Linked DNA regions of Schizosaccharomyces pombe. The protein of the gene in region 1 binds, or shares a complex with, the protein of each later gene. Each region holds a gene or a part of one and is shown on either strand. Other genes may lie near its edges.

Region 1 (4,461 bases):
CTCCATAGTGATTAGAAGCACTAACTATCACGATATGCTTAAACAGATTTTCCTAATTATGTTTAGTTTAAAAGAAACGGATTAGTATAATTAACAACGACACTCGATAGTTGTTTAAAGCTATATTGAATGGTTGTGGATGACAAGTCGTTGGAAAATGACATGTCTTTCATAAGACCATAATGATGCATTCCTTAGTAGAAATTTTACTGTAAATAAAACATGGATCTTTTATAACAAAATTATTAGTTGAACCTACTATGCGAATTTTTAAGAATTTATTATTTAAACATTCACACAGATTTAAAATGAAGCGTATACTTACTTGGATTACCTCAGTTTCATAAAGTAATGTATACTAATTCAAAGGATTGAATGAGCCCTAAAGGTATCATTAAACCGAGTTCCTCACATCGTCACACATGGAATGAAGAGATGATTTAACGAAGCTTCAAATTATCAACTTACAAATCATTGCTACTAAAATTATAGAAACCAGATAAAGTTTCATTTCAAAATAAAAGAAAGGATATCATTCAATGATTACAATTCTCACGTAATATTCAGAACACAGTACGATGTGCTTGCTTCATCGGACAGGGCTTTAAGGGAATAAAACAATCACATTGATGAGAAATTAGAATCTAAAGGGGTACAATTTAAAACCTATCACTCATATCCAAAAAATGGCAAGGCATATTTAGCTTCAAATAATTGAGCTTTAATGTAGCTTAAAATGATTTTGTCAGTAAGACTTTCTTTTCTGCTTACAACATAAAATCCAATCGATGTATTGGCCGTACTCAAAAAAATCCGCTTTATGTATAATCTGCGGAAGATTACACAAATTCAATAGCATGAATATCACAAAGAGCCAACGAACCAGTCCAGAGTAACAATCTGTTACAAAAACAAAACTTTTGATGCTTATTGATGATAGCAAAATACATGATCCAATATTTTCTCTTCAAATGATAGGTATAAGGACAGGGAAAGAGTCTCATACGTAAAGTAATAATATCTCAATTATTTTTTATTTCAAACGAAAGTTTCCCCTTTTTTTCCACTTAAGGAAAATTCCCTAAAATCCAACGACTTTTAATTAAAGGTTCATTAGAGATTAGTAATTATCATTACACGTATTATTTACATCGTTTTTCGATTAAAGCCAAACGATCAGAACCATGTTCTTCATATTCTTGACGTGATATCCATAATTGATGAAACGTTCCAAGACTACTTAAAATAGATCCACCTAACCATGAAGCATAACTGCGTTCAACAACATGACCGGAAGCATGGATTTTAAGACGGCTGCCAGGATATAATTTTGAAAGTTCATTTTGCAGACGAAGAGAGAATCCTTGCATCAAACTAGTGCCTCCACAAACAATAACATTGTTGAGCAAAGAAGCACGGATATCAACATCGCATTCCGAAATACAGTTCTGGAACAACTGAGGTATCCCCAAAATGCGAGAAGAAGTGTTGGTAACCGAAGAATCTTGTTGTGATACCTCATTATTTTCGGTTTGTTCTATTGGCTTCGAAGGTTCCTCGTTCATTTCTTCATCACTTCCTGGCACAAACAAATGTTCAGGAATTTGATAGCGTTCCGCGCCAAACATCATACGGGAACCGTCTGGAAATTCGAACTCTGATTCAGCAATCGTGGTTTCAGATGAAAATGGAACATCGGAAATGAGAGCACATTCTTCTTTCCATTCATCGTAGACTCGCTGGACCTGAAATTGATGATAAGAATCTGTAGTATCACGAGGACGTAACTCACAATTAGCTGGCTGCCCTATCTCCACTGGATTTTTGCTTTTCACTAAGTACTTAGGCATCACTTCGAAATTCTTATCCCTGAGAGTTTGCGCCAAAATATCGTTAATTGCATTCCCAGAAAAATGTTGAACCTGATAGCCTTTTTGAAGCACAAAACCATCATATATAGCAGACACCGAGCTACGCTCCGCACCAATGTCTACTAAACAAGCAGTACCTTTCCCGCTTGCAAACGCCGCACACGTCTCCTGCTTGGCGAGGTATGTTGCAGGACAACGCAAAGATTCAAACATCGTTTCTAGTGTTTTCACTCGATTTTCTGGGGGATTATCAAATGGTTCCGTAATCAAGATTGGATGCTCTAAAGGATTAGTCTTCAACTGCTGCTCTAATCCATAACGCCAGAGATCTACAGTAACATCCCAATTTTCAACCCAACCATTACGAATTGCATTTTTTATTTCCATTCCAGGGTTTGATTTATATATGTATTCCTCACCGAACAACCGTCTGCCATCACTGAACTCTCCACAGTAGCTAGGGAGTACGCATTTGGGAATATCTTCTCCAGAAAAACCTATTCGAGTCCATTTGCTTCCAGGATCAATTACAATAGCTGAAACTTCATCTCCGCCATAAAATGCGCTAGTCATCTTACCAGCAGTACAGTTTGTCTACGTGATAAGATTCTCAGGCAAAAGTTGTCGTTGGCACTTGGACAAGACGCATCGTTGAGATCATGAAATAGGTCGCCAACGGCTTTTCTTAAAAATACCCATCACTCTTTCCTATTTTATTTAGTTGGTTTAATTAATTAAAAATAAGACTTTCATTTAGAAAAGTGTGCATTCTTTAAGCATTCATGCAACGAGAATGTCGCTAATTTTCAAGCTTTTAATAGACGCGTCAAGTAAACTAGGTTTTCAAAAATAAGCATTCATATGAAAGATTGGGCTCATAGCACAAAAAAAAACAATTGTACAAGAAATCCACAATAGTTGAAAAGATAATTATTATGCTCCTAATAAACAAATTCATTTAGTGATTTTTTGAGTTTTTTGCTATAGTCAGCTACGCAGTTTGGTATATATTTAACGATACATAGAATTACGGTGAGTTTCTCTTACGACTTACAATATAGCGGTATGCAGTATGTTAACTAACAATGTATATTTATTGTTATATGAAGTCTATTAATATCGGTTGCCGAAATAGCGTTACAGCCGAACCTCGTTCCTCAGTTCAGTTATGAGCTATATTAGTGATAGGTAACATTATAACCCAGTTAATACAATACCTATACTCAGTTGCTACTCATACAACCTGTGTATTGTAATATAATAGATCACAAGGAAAACTCACCGCAGTTCTACGTATCCTTAAATCAGATACCAAACTGCGTAGCTTACACACTATACTAAATATCGGTTATCTAATATAGTATAATGAAGCACAAAATACAATTTAGCGTGGGTTTCTGTAATTCGTCATTATGCTGCTCTTAAATGTGAACCATGCGAATAGGTATTTTTTATAATTGAGTGCATAGATTTTCTGTAGTTGAGCTGTTCTTAAAATTATAAGATATCAATTCTCTTTTCTCCATACGAATGTGTGCTCACGAATTTGCATCAGATCTCAACCTCTGATTAATCTGCTTCTTTGAACATTCGATCACTCTTTGGTATCAAGTATCTATTAACCAATATATAATACAATTTAAAGCAAAAAGACATCTAATAATAAACTTTTTCTTGTCAATTATGTCTTAGCCGCTTCTTAATCAAAAAGATAAAAATCAATCAATTTATTATTAGTCCACCTAGACCTACCTTTATAGTTTTCTATATAAGTTTTTTTATTAACTCTTCCCCCAAAACAATAAGTAATTTTATATGCAAAACGTAATCCGAAGCAAAAATCAGAAACCTGTTGCGAAAGAAAACAGAATCAAATGGAACTGAAAATACACACATCACCCATGGCATTTTGTCAGTCCTTTTAAAAAAATTTTTTTTAAAGAAGTTGAAAGCGAATATATTAATTTCAATACTCTTTTCAACACTTTAATCTATTTAACTTCAAGCATCATTTTAATATTCATAGCAGTAAGTTCCGCCGTCAAGTAATTGAAAACACTGGGTAATGCGATCAACGTAGTATTTGTGCCGCCGACAAATTTCTTTCCGCTACCATCCTGCCAAATGTCACTGGTATCTTCCAATCCCAAAGCGGGTTTGGCACAGCTTCTGCACCTGACTTCTGAGGCACTTCCTACGCCATTCATCGAAATTGTAGACATGATAGAAATAATAGACCCACAATCTCGACAAACCCAGCTCTGGGCATAATCAGAACAATTCATTAAACGATCCTGCATCAAGAACGATGTGCCATGACCGATAACAGCATCACGTTCCATTTCACCGAAACGAATACCACCAGCACGTTTGCGACCTTTGACGGGTTGACGAGTAAGATTATGAATGGGTCCGGTTGTACGTACTTGAAATTTATCACTAACCATATGGCGAAGACGTTGATAGTAGACAACTCCAATATAAATATCAGCCTTCATCTCCTGTCCTGTGATACCACTATACATAGGCTCGTTTCCATGATAGTTGTAACCAGCCTTAACCAATTGTTCGCCAAAGTAGTCAGCAGCAG
Region 2 (3,731 bases), 2.2 Mb from region 1:
TGATCAAGGCTTAAATTTGAATGACACTGGTACCCTTGAAACTTATAGTAGACTTCTATTGTTTGCTCATCAATGCATTCCTTCTCGTGAAATAACATTTGAAACCACTTCTAAGGACGGAAACCTTCTAAATGCCATTAGAATCTTTTGCCTGTACTTTGATCTCGATTACTATGCTCGCCCGAATGGAGAGGTGTTAAAATTAGTAGTTACTCATCCGAATAAAAAGAATACGAGCGTAAGTCAGTCGCAACCTGCATCTCCAAATTTAAGATTTAATATGCCGGCACCGTTAGCTACTCGATTTTTGCAAGAGCATTCATTGAATGGTACTAAGAGTGCCCCTATAACCCCACCTCCCAGTTTCGCAGTACCATTGACAAACCAACTTCGTTCGATTGACGACAAAATTTATGGAAATGAATCACCGCTTCAAAAGGCTTCTACTTTGAGTTCACCTTTCAATTCAAAAAATGATAATGATGCTTCTACCTCCGCTTCCAAGCAGAGTTTTGGTGTCTCCCACTTTTAGAGTCTATGCAATTATAAAGAAACTGTTTATGTACCTTTTAAGATATGATTTTTGTTTACGCCAACTATAGATGCATTTACTATACGCTATTTGTTTTGACTAAATTTTGCTCTTTATCCCTTTATCACTTACTTCTGATGAATCTAAACTCTATGGGCTTCATTTTGTTGATTTTTTGTTTTCCCTTTCACATAGTTGGTTATCCAGCAAATAATCCTTTTAAATACTTAGAAGCTTATATTTTATCGTTTTGAATTCCCACGACACATTTGGACGACTCGACTTAACAGCAATCAATGATGGATATATGTTGGGTGAGGCATAATGTTTTATGACGATAATCAACGGATGAGCGATGCTCCTATTTTTTTACAAATTATAACGATTTTTCTTGTATAAGAAATTTATGCCCTACCGTATAATATACACATACTTTACATGATTAAATTTAACCTTGGACAAATACATTAGTCTGATATTACAAAATTGAACTTTTATTTTTGTAAATTTAATCATCTTCTTTATGTGGATGTGAATGTTCCTAGCTTAGTATTACCGTACTATGGATATAGAAATAAACCTACGATTTAAAGTCTATTTTCTACCAAGCTTGTAGGGCTTTAAATGAGCTACTTTAAAATTACCTAAAATATCGTTAAATTTTCCTATATAATGCGAATTGATTTATATGTAAAAAAGAAAAAGAAATTGCAAGCATGGTGGACTTTTAGTTCCATTGTTAGTAAGTTGTAATTAAAGGAAGTTACAAAGGATTCACTAAAATAAGAATACTTTATGGGTTATCGCAGCCTTACTCAATTACTGCACTTGAATGTCTATTGAATTTAAGAATGAAGAAAGGATAACACAAAGATGCACGATTCTTTTTGGATGAACTTTTATTTTTTGTTAAGGTTATGAAAAAAGATGAAATACACTTGACCTTGTAATTACTGCAGCTAGAAAAAGAAAATATTATAAAAACCAGTTTCATGAGTTATGGCTGGAAGTACCGCACAACACCATAAATATTGATAATCTGCTATATTGCCGATAATATAAAGTTAAATTAGTAGAAAAAGTAAACTAAGAAACAGAAATTTTCTTATTTTACCCATATAAACCTATGTATTAGAGGATAGCAATTGTATTTATGAGTTCGAGGGGAACAAGATCATCAACTGCTGCCGAGCAGAAAAGGCAGGAGGATGTAAATAAAGAATCAAATATGAATGATTCTGTTACTGAATGGTCTGTTTTAGAGGAAACCTTACTGTTAAAAGCTATTTGTCGTGGATTGCGCCCTGTAGGTAAGTGTTCGAAAGGTTAATTGCTCGGTCTCTTATTTTAAAAGCTGCATGTTATCAAATTATTGCATTCATTCACTAATTAAAAAATAGGAATAGAAAAAAATTTTTATATGATAGGGATTTTACGAGAAATTCGTGATGGCTGCAAAAGATCAACAATTAAGGCTCAGGACGTTTGGAATAAATTAGGAACACTTTATAATTTGAAAGAGTTTGAAGAATTGGTATGTCAAAAAGCCTTTTAATTTTTTGTTTTCAAGTATTTGTTGACAGTTTTTTAAATTAGGAAGCTCCAGGAAATGAAGAAGTTAAGGCGAAAGAAAAACGAATAAAGTCGCCAGATGTTAAAGATTTTAAATTACCAAAAGATATTCTTAAAGTAAAAGAAAAATCCGAGAAACCATTGGAAACATCTCAAAAAGTGGAGATTGAAACGGTAGAAACTAAACCCGGTGAACCCGAAGTTAAGCAGGAGACGAATTTACAGAAAGAGAAGAAGGAAAGTAAAGTCAAGCTTGAATCTAAAGAAGAGAAAATTTCTCGGAATTTACGATCCTCTTCTAGAAGTATTTCTCCTGTTACTGAACAGCCGCAAAGTCCAAAGATTCAGCCTGTTATTCCCGAAAAAAAAGAAAAGTCTGAAAAGAAAGAGAGTTCCATGACTTTGCGAAAAAGATCCGTCTCGCCATCTTCTCAAAATACAGCCCGTTCTCCAAAGCGTATGGCTACTGAGCCCATAGAGCCTGCTTCTTCACCGGCAGCTTCAAACCAAGCTATTCGCCGTAGCTCTCGAAGCCGGAGGCCTCCGACCTAGCTCTTGTTAACAGAAAAACCTAGGATGGGAAAGACTGATTATTTGTACATATCATTTATGCTTGGTCTACTCTAATGAACGGTTATTTATATATGAGACCAAAATTAATTATCACAAGGGATTTATAAAAAGTGAAAAATAAAAAGAATTATGATTTTACTACAACTAATATTTTGTATGTCAAGGAGATTTGTTTTAGCAGAATTATAGGTTTAATGGGATCGACGGCATGTCCAAAACTAATTTGCTTTTGCAGTTTTACTCCTTTTTGATGCTCGATTCACGTAATGGGAAAAGACGAACGGCTTTGTTACAAACAAATTTACTCTGATTTACCGCTACGATTTTTGAATCCCGTCACTTCTTTACTGTTCGTTACGATGTTTTATGTAGCTATATATACTGTTTGATAGCTTGACTTGCTAAAAAAAATCTTCTAACTGTGAGTTTTCAATTTTAATTCGATAGGTCCATATGTTAATGTCGATTTGGTTGGAAATATGTTTTAAAGTATGTTTAACACGCATAGACAGAGAGATTCCAATAGGTAGTATACATATTACTTTCAAATTGATGAGCAAATTGTTTTCAAAACCTTACACAGGTAACGATTTGATCAATGAATTTTTCAATTCCGGTGAAACGGACTTGAGTATTCACATGAGTTAATGTATTATTTATCGGCACATCAGACCATTGCCTAGCAGAGTCTGCCGAATTTAACAACTTTTAAAACACAATAGATCTATAAGTACAGCTCTCTAATAGCAAAGCAAAACTGAGCAACCCGTCATTGCGAAACCTTTAAAAGACATCAAAAATACACAAACGCGCTTGCATTCAGGTACATAAACATGCAGCGGGATCTACTTCATAGAGTTTCGTAGATTCCCTTACTTGAAAGGTTAATATCGTACATAATTTTCATACTGTGAGGCAAAAATCTCATTAATATTTAGTATTCAACAACATAAAAACAATTTTAGCAATTAAACTTGAAACCGTTTAATAAACAATGGAAGTACACTAACAAAGATAATCCTAGTGTCTCTCTATTCAGAATTGATATTCGCCG
Region 3 (6,400 bases), on another chromosome or scaffold:
TATATTTTTCAATAATAAATTTTAAACTGAGACCATTGAACGAAGGGATCATTTGAGTTCATAAATTTTAAAATTTGAACAGAAAAGGAAGGCCTTTGACGATATCTCTTCTTTATTTGTTTTTCTTCGTCTTACCTTGCCCTATTTATGGTCTTCTTAAACATCAAATTACACCTTAGATAGTAGCTCTTTAATGATTACTCAAATTGTCTTTTATTACTAGGCCCGGAGTCTGTACAATCTAACTAGTTTTCTAAAAATATGAGAGATCCAACTGTGTATTATATCTAAACACCACCACTCCACTCTTTTACAAGAAAGCCTAATACTTATATTCAGAACGGTTTTAAGCTCTCTGATTACTGATAGAGAACTGAATTACAAAACCAAATTGTCCACTTCATTATTGAGCTGGTTTCTGTCTCATCTGTTGATATCTGAGATTTTGCATCATGGTATACATACTTGGAGTGGCTGTAAACGACGATAAACCTGTGCGGTTTGCTCTACTTTCTTTTTATGGAATTGGACATGCCAAGGCTGAAGAAATATGCGCAAAATTATCATTTCACAATACGTTAAGGGTTCGAGAGCTGACAAATGTTCAATTGACAACGTTGTCGCAACTGCTATCAGGAATGACTATTGAAGGTGACTTACGGCGTCAACGGAATGCTGATATCTCAAGATTGGTGAATATCCGATGCTATCGGGGAATGAGACATGTAAACGGGTATGAAAAGATCATTTGTGAACGTAGCTGTCTTCGACAACTTTTTCAACTTAACTAATGAATATTTCAGGTTACCCGTTAATGGACAGAACACTCGGACGAATGCAAAGACTGCTAAGAAGCTAAACAAAGTCCCACGACGAGGTTATATGACACTGTCGCCCGCTTCTACAAGGCCCATCACATGGAGTTTTTGTCTACCGAGAATGGTGTCTGTCTTTCAAAAATTAAAACATATTCATTAGCTAAAATAACGTTTATGAAATCAAACTTCACTTATCATGTACACTTCGTATTACCTCGATTTGCTTGATTCTGTTAAAAAACCAACAACCGGGATACGAAAATGAAAACGTATTCTATTTTTATTGTGTGAGAGAAAAAGCTCTCGCCTCGTAATTTCCTTCTAATATACAACAGCACTCAAAAAAAATACAATAAATCGAAAAATTGCATTGAGGCGATACTTACTGTGTCCTTTCAGTAGTAGGTACAGTTTGCTTCCTTTGCTGCAACTGATGAATTTGTTCAGGTGTTAGTTTTAAAGAACTGGAAACAGCGTATGGCTGAAGCCTGGGGACCATTCTACCAGCTATAGGCGAGACACCCGCTGATGAATTGTTACTACTATTTTGTGAAGCAGCTACAGCTTGAAAGGCTGCTAGTTGCTGGTTGTGTTGTTGTGCACCAGCAGCAACAGCGGCGTTTTGCGGCCGTAGAGCCCTGTTTTGTGATTGCAATTGTGCAAAGTTTCTCTGAGCCTGTATTTGCTGTATTTGTGCCTCACGCTCAGATTTCAAACGAGAAAGTTCGAGAGGGGAAGGAACCGGCGGCAATTTTTCAGTTGAAGCTGCAGATGGTGCAATCGCTCTCTTGGTCATAGTGGGTTTTTTAGCAAACTCTCTCTTTTTAAGGATCTTTCGTATAGCTTCAAATATAGTAATGGGTCGGTAATGTCTTGATACAGTTGGCAATAAGAAGTAAGAATTATGTTTAATCAAATGGTTAGGTGTTCCTTCATCCCGTAAGGATAGATGTTGGCTAACTTTATCCGAATGTCTTAAGGATTCATCTAATTTCTGCTGAGCGAGTCTTGCATGGGAGCCAGTCAATTGGACATTGGCGGCTCTGGGATCCACTTGAATCCATCTTTCAAAACAATCCCACGCAGTCCGCTTCTCGGCAAGCGGTATGTACAAACCTGGTGGTGTTAACCTACTGGCAACAAATTCCCAATTAAAGGAATATCGTCGCAAGAGTAATAAAAGGAGTTCATCTTCTTCGGGCAACCAAGGGGCTTCTGGACGAATATCTTTACTAGAAGGCGGATACGGAGGCCGCACACTAAAGGTTCCTACTGAGGATAGCTTCTGATTATCATCCTTAATTTTATTTCCATCTAGCTGGTTCTCATCGCTTCTCGCCTTCTTTTCCATAAACGACTCAGGTGGTGATAATTCCAATTGGTTGAACAAACGTTTCCTAGAAGCCTTTGCACAGGTGGATTTAAGCTTTGTTTTGGCATATGCAAAACGTGACACAGGAGTGATCGGGTACTTTTCAGATATTTCTTCACAATATTCATTGTTTTCAGTAGGAGGACCGTACATAGGAACGTTTAAAACGCAGTTCTGAATTTGTTCGGAGTTTGTTGTCACAAATATATCATCCGAAAAAACAGCATTATAAAACTGTAAAGAATCCCTGGGAATAGAGAGCACTTTGTTGTTATTATTATCATTTAGATTAAAATGGCTCACTATTTGTTCATTAAACGTTTCCTCGTGAGAGTCTTTCTGATGTTCATTCTCTTGCATGTACGGCTTCTTATTCTTTGACAACGAAGCCGGAGTACAAACAGTACATTTATCACTAGCTTGATGGTAATCCATTACCCAATTCGCCATTCTATGAGCCAATATAATTTTCCATTTACGCTCTTGAGAAAAATCAATTGACATCCATTGCATCTCATCCAAAACATAATCCCGATGAGTTTTCAATCGTGGCATCTCGTTTTGTCTTTTGGGCTGTCTAAAGGACCAAATACCTTTTTCTTTTGCAACCGTTAAATGATGTAGTGATTGTCGTACAATTTCCTCGCGATACGCATGAGACCAGTTATCTGATAGAACATATTTATGTGCATTTTTCAACCTTAAATGTAAAGGCGACATTTCTGTTCGAAGCAGCCATGCTTCTGAGGAAAGCTCTGGTTTCACCGGTTCAGAAAATTTTGAAGGAGGAATTAAAGTTAGTGGCATAGATACAGAAAGTTCAAAAAGCGGAGCTTCAACCCCAGTTCTGTCAATTGTAGGGGATTTTTCCGATGGTAACTTATTTTCCATTTGTAATTTACTAGGCTCAACAATTTCATCTACTGGCTTCTCGTTGACATCAACCGCTACTTCCTGAACAGGAGATTCAGTGGCCTTGTCAACGGAAATGATTTGTTGTTCCGAAGGAATCTCTTGATTATTTAATAATTGTATAGTTTTTTCAATATCAATACCTGATTGTACATTCTCAACATCATTTTCAGTGACCTTGGCTTCAGGAGAATGAACTTCTTCAACTTCATCAACCTTTGGGACTTTATCTTCAATTTCCAAAACTTCTGCAACAGTGACAGGGGGAGCCGTAGGTTCCGTTGTCTCTGATACCTCTTTCTTTTTCACTTCTTTAGACTCAACTTGATCAGTCGCAACCTCTACCGGTTTGGTAACGGTCACATTTTCTTCATTCCCATCTTCCTCATGTTCCTTTTCGGTAGCTTCAACCACTCTTAATTGCTTATCGACTCCTTCTTCTTGAGAGGATTTGTTTGCAAGTTCTTCGGTAAGCTGTCGAGCAGCATACTCGCTATCTGGCGTCAAAGGGCCTTTTTCCTCTTCAGCATGAGCAGTGGTTTCCACTTCTTTTACGGGTGTTGTTGGTTCAATAGTTTCTTTCTCTTCTACGTCAATATTTTTATGTATAGTTTCAGGTGAAGGTATGGGAGATTTTGACGTTATAATTTCCTCCTCGCTAAGTTCTAGGGAAGTTTCTTTTAAAGGTGTCTCCTCTGAAACTCCTTCCAAATTATCGGGTTCTTCGGGAACTATCGGTTCTTCAACGATAGGAGTTACAGATTCTCTAGCTGAAAGATTAAAATTTCGCCCCCTTGCATGTTAGTTGTACATTTGAGGAAAATACAAAAAGTTACTCAATGAGACATACCTTTTAAAACGATACTTTTGATAAAAGTTAAACCACTCAGAAACTTGCTCTGGTAAAAGATCACTTGATGAATGAAGCCATTCTAATCCATTAGGAAACTTGCAATGCAACCAAAATAAAAGAAGTAACTTTTCATGTTTCTCTTTTGTTAACTTAATCTCTTCATTGTCTACAGAGTCGTTTTCTTCTTCTTCGTCTAGAGTAAAAAGGGAGGCAAAAGAATCTGTTATCGATAATTTTTCACCATCGACTAAAGCAATTTGACTGGTTTTGGTCTCCTTCTTTTTAATTAAAAATATTAATTAGTTATCGAAGTACAATAAAATTATCACTTTAAGGCCCGTAAGACTCGTAAAAACGTACCTGTTTCATAATCCCAATTTAAGCGGAATTACGCTGGAAAAAGCATACAAATCGTATTCTAGAAAAGACACAGTTTTGCTTTTATATTTATTGTATGATGATATAAAGAACTCAAGGATCCTGTATACTTTCAGACCTAATGTGAACGAAGTTAGTCTGATGGTGTTGAGGCCCCCCAAGGGATTTGAGCCCGCAATCAACCACCATATTAGGTGAAGTAGAAAAACAAGGAAATAGCACTCTACTAGGACACAGTTTTGAACTACAAGTACAGCAATAAGACTGTCTTTTATTTTCGTCTTTTTGTTGCTCGGAGAAATCGCTTGTTCTATTTAAAAGTTGAGACGTTACCATAAAGGTTATCGGCATATTTCAAAGCTTTAAAAACGTTTCCCTTTCAACTTAAATTATTCAAAAATACATTCAGTTGAGCTACATGCCAAACCTACTATCATATCATTCTAAAAAAACTATCGTTAAGTGATCTATTTCTCCCTTATTTTCAATTTGTATTTATTATTTTACGACGTGCTAGGAATTGTGAAAGACTCTTATTTATGATCAAGTTTTTCTAGATTTTTGCGTTGCATTTGGTTTTTACATGCATCTATTGCTCATCCCTTGAGGATTATTTCCACTTTCTGTTGTGGATTTTCTTTTCTTTATAAAGCAAGATTGCCAAATTGTTGCTCCCAACATAACAAGGGATAATAACAATTCATCGTTGCTTTCGTTAAAACATTCTTTCATCAAAAGAACTCGGCACCTGCTCTTTATTCTACTTTGCATTTTTGTTTTAGTTCCGTTTTGCATATTCTTATTTCTTCTTCTCATATTACTTTATTCTTATTCTTTATTTCTCTTTTTATCTGATAATCACCTTGGTCATTTTAATTTACCTCTATGTAAACATTCTTGCATCTATATTTTCTTCTAATTATTTAAGGATTATGAGGATTTGGATTTTAATATTTTTCTCCTTCATTAAACTTGTCTCTTCGTTACAATATACGGGAAATGGTGTTTTAGCTTTGGACTTCGTTGCGAAAACTTTTCCCAACCAGGAAAATCAATTAGAGAAGCGTGACTATACTTATTCTCCATCTGGTATCACTTCATTTCCTTTAGATTTGCAGAGTTACACTTACTACACTACTACCCTTTCGATCGGTCGTCCGAGTATTTCGTACACTGTAGCTATAGATTTGGACATGCCGTACACATGGTTGACTTACTACAATGTAATGGCGTTTAATCCAGCGTATCTTGGCATAGTGAATAGTGGTACTCAGTGGAGTACGGATGAACTGCGATACTTTCTTTGTAAAAAAGAAAGTGATTCTTGTTATTTTGGGAATGCATCTTCTAGCTTCCATTTTGTTACGAGTCCAAGCACTTTTTTTATCCGCTATGACGATAACATTACAGTTGCTGGAATTAATGTTCAGGACTCCCTTTCTTACAGTCATTATCAAGCTTTACCGGACTTCCAATTCGGCATCACATTAAAGGAGTATGTTCCCAGTTCAATGCTGCCGTACAAAGGCGTGCTAGGTTTAGCTGCCAGTACCGAAATTAATTCAATAGATTATTCGGATTCCATTTCAAGTTTTTCACCACCAACCTTTTTGGAACAACTAGTTAAAGAGGATATATTGGCATACCCTGCTTTTAGTATGTATCTGGATAATCAGGGTAATGGAAGTTTACTTTTGGGAGCCGTGGATACGTCAAAGTACCAGGGACAGTTTGTCGCTTTGAAGCAGACTAAGCTTACGCATTACGCCGTTTCCATTTACTCTGTGCAGTTCTTAAACTCTACGTTCTTTTCTAATTATTCTATCATCACTGATGCATACTTTCAAACTCGTGAAACTTATATTTATTTGCCTGCCGAATTGGCTTACAGTGTGATGGATAATGCTGGTGCCTACTTATCCGAAGGCTATTTCGCATTAAACTGTGATGAAATTGATTTGGAAGCCGCTCTGATATTTCAATTTGGATGTAATTCAACTATCAAGGTACCGATATCGTTGCTAGTGATTGGGCAAGTTTCAAACATATGTCTTTTAGGTATTCGAC
Region 4 (6,191 bases), on another chromosome or scaffold:
TGTTAGAGCAATAATTTAACAAAAATAAATTCTTACAGAATCATCGTTGCTTCTAACACCATCTTGAAGACCTATAATTTAAAACTTAATGCGAAGAAATTTGAAAGAACGCTTGGTAGATTACAGAAGATGTGTTGCAAAGTGAACTAGACAAGGTATTACTACTCACCTTCTCTAGTCATTCTCGGATAACGATATGTAACGCATCACAAAATGAAACATCGAAAAACATGGTGATACACAATTCATTTCCTGTTCGAATCCACAGGTTCTCTAATTTCTTACAGCACGCGTAAATAATCGAAAGCCAACACCAAATGCGTGAAATTGTTATAATACAAGTGTAGGTAATAAACGCTTTTTAAAAAATTTTATATATTTACTGAAGCGGAAAACTGGAATTTAAAGGGTACTGCTGAGATACTAATTTTTTGGAGATACATGCAGAGCTGTTGGTATAACATATTAGAGGCCTCAGCAGGCAACTTGACTGAATCTCGTAGTCAAATTATTACTTTTTTTTTCCTTTTTTAATTAATAGAAGGTAATATTTTTAAAAGCGATAAAGCCAGGGACCTTCAGACGTTTGAGAAGTATTTAATTTTCTATATAAACATTTCTTGTTTTTAAATTACTTTAAATACTTGGATTAAGTTTTGCTCTGGTTACAGGGCGGCCAGCAATAGAGCATTGCTAGAAAGATTTTAACTCGCCAGGAATGTTTTTGGAAACTTTGATTCATGGCGTAACGTTTTGTGTACCGTTTTTTAGCAAGTCTGCTAGAATTCACACTTTATCAAAGGATGTTTTTCAACAAAGGAAATTCCCAGGAAATACCTTGTGGGCTGCTGCCCTCAATCGCTTCACTGCATATTTATTTGCTTCCAAAGAACTTTCGTCAAAACAAGCATACTTAGCCCAAGACTTTGTCAATGTCTGCAAGGATGCCAGTGTCTTTCAGAATGTATACTATTATGAGTTAAAAAAGAATATCCTTACAGATTTAGGATTTTCTGACTTAAAAAACTCTGATAAATCATTGGCTCTTTCAAAATCTTCTTCTACTTTTGACCTTCAGAAAATAAAAAAGATCCATGATTGTTTACTCTCAGAGTATCGGAAGTATGTACGATATCAAGAGCGAATAGAAGAAACAAGACCTGACTTACAAAAGCAATTAACAGATTTAAAAAATCCAATTGAGTGGTATCCAGGAGCGAGAAAACTCAGAAGGCATATCATTATGCATGTCGGCCCAACGAATAGCGGGAAAACACATAGGGCTTTAGAAAGACTTAAGACTTGCAAGAAAGGTATATTTGCTGGCCCTTTAAGACTTTTGGCTCACGAAATCTATAATCGCTTGCAAGCAAACGGAATAGCTTGTAATCTTTACACAGGGGAAGAGATTAGAAATGATTATCCTTTCCCTCAGGTTGTTTCATGTACTGTAGAAATGTGCAACTTATCTACTACTTTTGATGTTGCAGTCATTGATGAAATCCAAATGATGGCTGATCCTTCACGGGGATATGCTTGGACTCAATGCTTGCTTGGCTTGCAGGCTAAGGAAATTCATTTATGCGGAGAAGAAAGTGTTGTTAAATTAGTGCGTTCAATTGCTAAAATGACCCAAGATGATTTTACTGTTTACAGATACGAACGGTTAAATCCTCTCCACGTTGCAGAAAAGAGCTTAAATGGAAAGTTAAGTGAACTCAAAGACGGGGATTGTGTTGTGGCTTTTTCAAGGAAAAACATTTTTACTTTGAAGTCTAAAATTGATCAAGCATTAGGAAAAAAATCTGCCGTTATTTATGGTTCACTGCCTCCTGAAGTCCGTAATCAACAAGCAAGCTTATTTAATTCAAAGAGTTCTGATGAAAATATTTTGCTGGCCTCCGATGCCATTGGTATGGGTCTCAACTTAGGCGTAAAGCGTATTGTTTTCAGCGATTTAAAAAAGTTTAGTGGAGTTTCCACTATAGACATCCCTGTACCACAAATTAAGCAGATAGCAGGAAGAGCTGGCCGACATAATCCCAATGGATCTAAGCAAAGTGCTGGAATAGTAACTACCCTATATCAAAAAGATTTTGCGAAATTAAATCGCGCCATGAATCTTCCTACAAAGAACTTATTCAATGCTTGTATTGGAGCTAAGGACGATTTATTCTTTAGATATTTATCACTATTCTCTGATGACATTCCTCAAAAGCTAATTTTCGATCGTTACTTTAAGTTAGCGAAAACGACTACTCCATTTGTTGTGTCGGAAGGAGCACTAAGCACATTCATTATTGAATATTTAGACCACATAAAAGGTTTAACCATTAAAGATAAAATCAAATTGTTAGGGTGCCCAGTGTTAAAGCATTCTAAATACGCACCACTATTTATTCGGGAAATCGGATGTGTTATCGCTCAAGGAAAACGTCTGCAAATATATGATTTGAAGTCTGTACCTTTGGAAATATTAGAACGCGGAATTCCAACCACTGAAACCGAGTTACAACAACTAGAGCAGCTTCACAAATTAATAGTAGCATACATGTGGGCTAGTATACGATATCCAGCTATCCTGCAAAATGGAGCAGCCGAAAAAACCAAGGCAATAGCAGAGGCTTTTCTAATCAAAGGAATATCGAAATTACAAAAGTAACTAAAATGAAATAAAAGGTTACAAATTAGTCTCTATTCCTTCAAACTTTAAGTATCATTAATATATATCTAGGAGATACTTTAATTATGAGAATTTTTTTTTTTTTTAAGAAAGACGACCAGCATCTAATCCATTCTTTGTACAGAATTACCATCCAAATCGTAGTTGGGAAGGGTGAAAAACAGGAGGTTGCCAATCTGCCAACAAATCTCCATTGATCCTTCTTCTTTTTTTGTTCTTCAATCTTTCGTATTGTTGCTCAATTCCATCTGAAATACAGATAATAAATTGACCTTTGTAATATTTAAGCATATTTAGTGCTTGAAGTGTATGTAGCACATCATTAGTAGTCATTGAAGTTTTGTTGGCTAATTCGTCAATAGTGGTTTCAGTTCGCATTCCAAGCACAAGGTTGATGATTTGTTCAGCCCAATACGCTCGATAACTAATCAACCCCAAATCAGAAAGTGGTTTTTCAGGTGAGCCGTGTTTGTGCTCACGCTTGGTCAATTCATAAGAAAATTGTATGAGTAACTTGCCATAACCATGTCTTTGGTATTGAGGTAAAGTTAAGATACAAGCAAGGTTGTAATTTTCGGAGGACTCTTTTTCTTTTGAGAAATATCCTACCAAGTGACATCCATATTCATCGCGGCGACACATACAGTAAAACAAAAAGGGATCAACATCATAGTAAAGCATTTTGTGATCCAGAAAAAGTTTGGACAAAAGACAAATATTCCTACACCATGTACGTTGCTTTCTTCCATCAATTTCAAAAAAGGATATATAGTCATCACGGTATATTTCATTTCCGGGTGGATGCTGCAATGTACATTTTTCGCGGTGTCTTTGAAATTGTCGCTCAGATCCGTAATAGCAGAAACAAAAACTGCAAATATAAACTATATCTACTTCCGAAAATTCTTTAGGGTACGGTGAGAAGTACCAAGGTTCAATTTCATGATCTCCTATGCAAATTTTGTTTATATTACGAATTCGAGCTATTTCGTGAGGATTTTGAACCATTGAGCCACTGAACCGTAACCTTTCTACTTCTTGTTCTTTTGAAAGACTTTCGGGCTTGTGGTCTTCCTCCAATAACGGTAAACTTTCATTCCCGGCATTTGATCCATGATCACTTTCTCCAGAAGGGGTGGATGGTTCAGGTTTCTCCGTAGAAGGCGTCGAAGGCTCAGTTTTTGAAGGTGCTGTAATCGATCGTCGTCTGTCAACAGCTTTTGGACGTTTTGAGGATTTTCCTTTTCCATGAGCCTTTTTTGGCTTCTCCGGCGGTGGATACTCAATTCCTTTCGATAAATCAATATTATCTATTGTAATCCATTCATCTAAACGTTTATTGTAGTCATTATAGTGTACATAGTAGACGACGCCTCTAGTTCTTTTTTGAATCATTAAAATCTCCGCCTTTCGATATTCTCCATCCTTAAATGCAAAGACTTTGGATTTATAAACTATGTCTTTAGCCTCATAAGACTTTGTTTCAATCTTGGACTCATCATCAACATCATTCGACATCTTGAGTCTCAATAAGTGGATACTTATTCCATGTACAAATTGTGTAGCCACCCTGAAAATTTTTTTTTCATGGTGGTGAGTTTTGCTAGTTTCGAAAACATTTCTTTACCGATTCGTTAAATGTCGGTATGTTTTTTGTGAACTTTACTGCTTTAAATTAAATTGTTTAGCAAATTTCGACGAATTTACAATCTTTGCTACCTTGAAATTCATTAAGCGAGATGATTTTTAAAGTTAGAGTTTCGCTCGTTATTATAGCATCGACGTAATTATTCTCAACCTGCGCTTACAGCAAACGATGCTAACCTTTTCGTTTCCAATAGAAAGTAAATTAATTAATAAAATTTTTGAAAGGATGAAAAGAGTAATAAATACTTTCATTTTACACATATCAAGATAGCTGTGATAAATTAAACGATCAACTTCAAAAATCCTGAAATGCTCAATTAAAATTAGTGTTCTTTGATAATATAAAAATCTAGAAAATATTTTTCTCGGGTTTGAACACGAGTATATTCGAAATTTGTCCAGAAAGTACCGAAAATGCTATAAACAGTAATACAATTCTTCAGTTTTCCGTTTCCAATTAAAAGAATAATGCCAATAAGGAATAATAGAAGTACTTTTCATAATTAAGGGAATTTACTTCACTAACGCGCTCAGCTAATTCACAAAAACCAATAAAAGTATGTTAGGCACTTTATTTACAAGGTATATACCATCATCCCAGCTGCTAAATTAATAAACATGAAACGAGCGGTTGAGATATATCGGAATGAAACCTGCTACATTAAAAAGTAACTTTCCCGATTGAAACAGTCATCAGCCACAGGTATGGGTGAACAGAAAATGTATTTATTCTGAGTTTATATATAATACCTATATATTTGTTGACTGGTGTTTCAAAAGTTCACTATATATCAAGAAACACTATCATGAATTCATTACAGTAACAGTAAAATGGTTCACAATCAACATTCAAGTGCTTTAAACGGGAATCAAAAAGATACAATTAAGACGGGTATGGGGGAGTTACAAAGACTGCCATTTAAAACACAACGGCAGTGTAACAAATATACATGAGCACATTTCGTACCTAATTTGCGAATATACAATCTTTATACATTCCAAGCATTATGACCAGTAGCACTAGCGTTGTAAATAAAGTTGTTGTTGGCGCCAGAATTTCCTTGGCTATCTGCGTATGAGGGAATTTGTTCCGAACCATAACTTCGATTTGTATTGACAGCAGAGCTTGGTTGCGACATACGGGTATTCATCGTAGAACTTTGACGCTCGACGGCTGGACGGAAGTCATTTGGATCATCATCATCATCATCACTGTCGGAAACAGCTGATGGACCATTTGCGTTGCTTAAAGGTTGTATATAGTTCACATTAGCAATATGGGTATTCAACGCTTCCCACCATCTCATTAGTTCGGTGTTGTTAGAAGCGCGAAACGCGTAATCGTTTCGCGCGCCAAAAATTTTCTTAGTAGCATCCTTGCCAGTTATTTTAAACTTGGGTTTCTTCTCAGAAGGGCGACCGATCAGACAATCAGGTATGTAAAGGGCGAATTCGGGTTCAGGATCTTGAAGTGAATCAGAAGATTTAAATTCGTAAAGATAGCCAGAATGTGTAAAGGCATAAAAACCTCTTTGTTTTTTCTTTAAAAAACTTGTTTTACGAATTAAATAACCAGCCATGATAGGTACAGTGGGTTGGTCATTCTTACCAGGATATTTTATAGCATCAACGCTGCGGGGGGGAACAGAGCCATGAATAAATTCCGGCTCACGCTTTGCGTATCCGGTCCACTCGCCAGCAAGGGTTTGTGCTTCTGATACGCGAACAACTTCTTGGAGGTGATTAATAGCTTTGACATGGGTTTGATTCATCATGCCCTCAAACTGCTTAACCGTGTCTTTAATTTTTGCGATAAGGTTTTGCTCGAAACGAAAAGAAAATTCTTGAAGCTGTGCCACTG

The links.
Region 2: alp5 (region 1) and eaf7 share a complex: the UniProt entries of both Schizosaccharomyces pombe proteins name them as parts of the nuA4 histone acetyltransferase complex.
Region 3: alp5 (region 1) and vid21 share a complex: the UniProt entries of both Schizosaccharomyces pombe proteins name them as parts of the nuA4 histone acetyltransferase complex.
Region 4: alp5 (region 1) and mst1 share a complex: the UniProt entries of both Schizosaccharomyces pombe proteins name them as parts of the nuA4 histone acetyltransferase complex.

The regions. Positions count from the first base shown.
Region 1 is NC_003423.3:2,011,045-2,015,505, reverse strand, and holds alp5 (Ino80, NuA4 and Swr1 complex actin-like protein Arp4), read right to left. Parts: upstream 2,508-4,461; 5' UTR 2,445-2,507; coding exon 1,143-2,444; 3' UTR 501-1,142; downstream 1-500. Other genes in the region: GINS complex subunit Psf1, read right to left, coding at 1-6; DNA-directed RNA polymerase I complex subunit Rpa2, read right to left, coding at 3,863-4,461. UniProt on the Schizosaccharomyces pombe protein: Chromatin interaction component of the NuA4 histone acetyltransferase complex which is involved in transcriptional activation of selected genes principally by acetylation of nucleosomal histone H4 and H2A. The NuA4 complex is also involved in DNA repair.
Region 2 is NC_003423.3:4,259,274-4,263,004, reverse strand, and holds eaf7 (NuA4 histone acetyltransferase complex subunit Eaf7), read left to right. Parts: upstream 1-1,543; 5' UTR 1,544-1,685; coding exon 1,686-1,842; exon of another isoform or gene 1,843-1,932; coding exon 1,933-2,066; exon of another isoform or gene 2,067-2,128; coding exon 2,129-2,656; 3' UTR 2,657-3,193; downstream 3,194-3,731. Other genes in the region: RNA-binding protein Cip1, read left to right, coding at 1-532. UniProt on the Schizosaccharomyces pombe protein: Component of the NuA4 histone acetyltransferase complex which is involved in transcriptional activation of selected genes principally by acetylation of nucleosomal histone H4 and H2A. The NuA4 complex is also involved in DNA repair.
Region 3 is NC_003421.2:979,044-985,443, reverse strand, and holds vid21 (NuA4 histone acetyltransferase complex scaffold subunit Vid21/Eaf1), read right to left. Parts: upstream 4,474-6,400; 5' UTR 4,325-4,473; coding exon 4,316-4,324; intron 4,299-4,315; exon of another isoform or gene 4,234-4,298; coding exon 3,953-4,233; exon of another isoform or gene 3,896-3,952; coding exon 1,201-3,895; 3' UTR 979-1,200; coding exon of another isoform or gene 804-978; 3' UTR 734-803; downstream 1-733. Other genes in the region: sws2 (mitochondrial 37S ribosomal protein uS13m), read left to right, coding at 453-733, 804-978; yapsin Yps1, read left to right, coding at 5,266-6,400. UniProt on the Schizosaccharomyces pombe protein: Component of the NuA4 histone acetyltransferase complex which is involved in transcriptional activation of selected genes principally by acetylation of nucleosomal histone H4 and H2A. The NuA4 complex is also involved in DNA repair.
Region 4 is NC_003424.3:4,558,575-4,564,765, forward strand, and holds mst1 (histone acetyltransferase, KAT5 family Mst1), read right to left. Parts: upstream 4,256-6,191; 5' UTR 4,202-4,255; coding exon 2,810-4,201; 3' UTR 2,663-2,809; coding exon of another isoform or gene 719-2,662; 3' UTR 527-718; downstream 1-526. Other genes in the region: 19S proteasome regulatory subunit Rpn10, read right to left, coding at 37-62; ATP-dependent RNA helicase Rpm2, read left to right, coding at 719-2,662; slm1 (cytoskeletal signaling protein), read right to left, coding at 5,320-6,191. UniProt on the Schizosaccharomyces pombe protein: Catalytic component of the NuA4 histone acetyltransferase (HAT) complex which is involved in epigenetic transcriptional activation of selected genes principally by acetylation of nucleosomal histones H4, H3, H2B, H2A and H2A variant H2A.Z.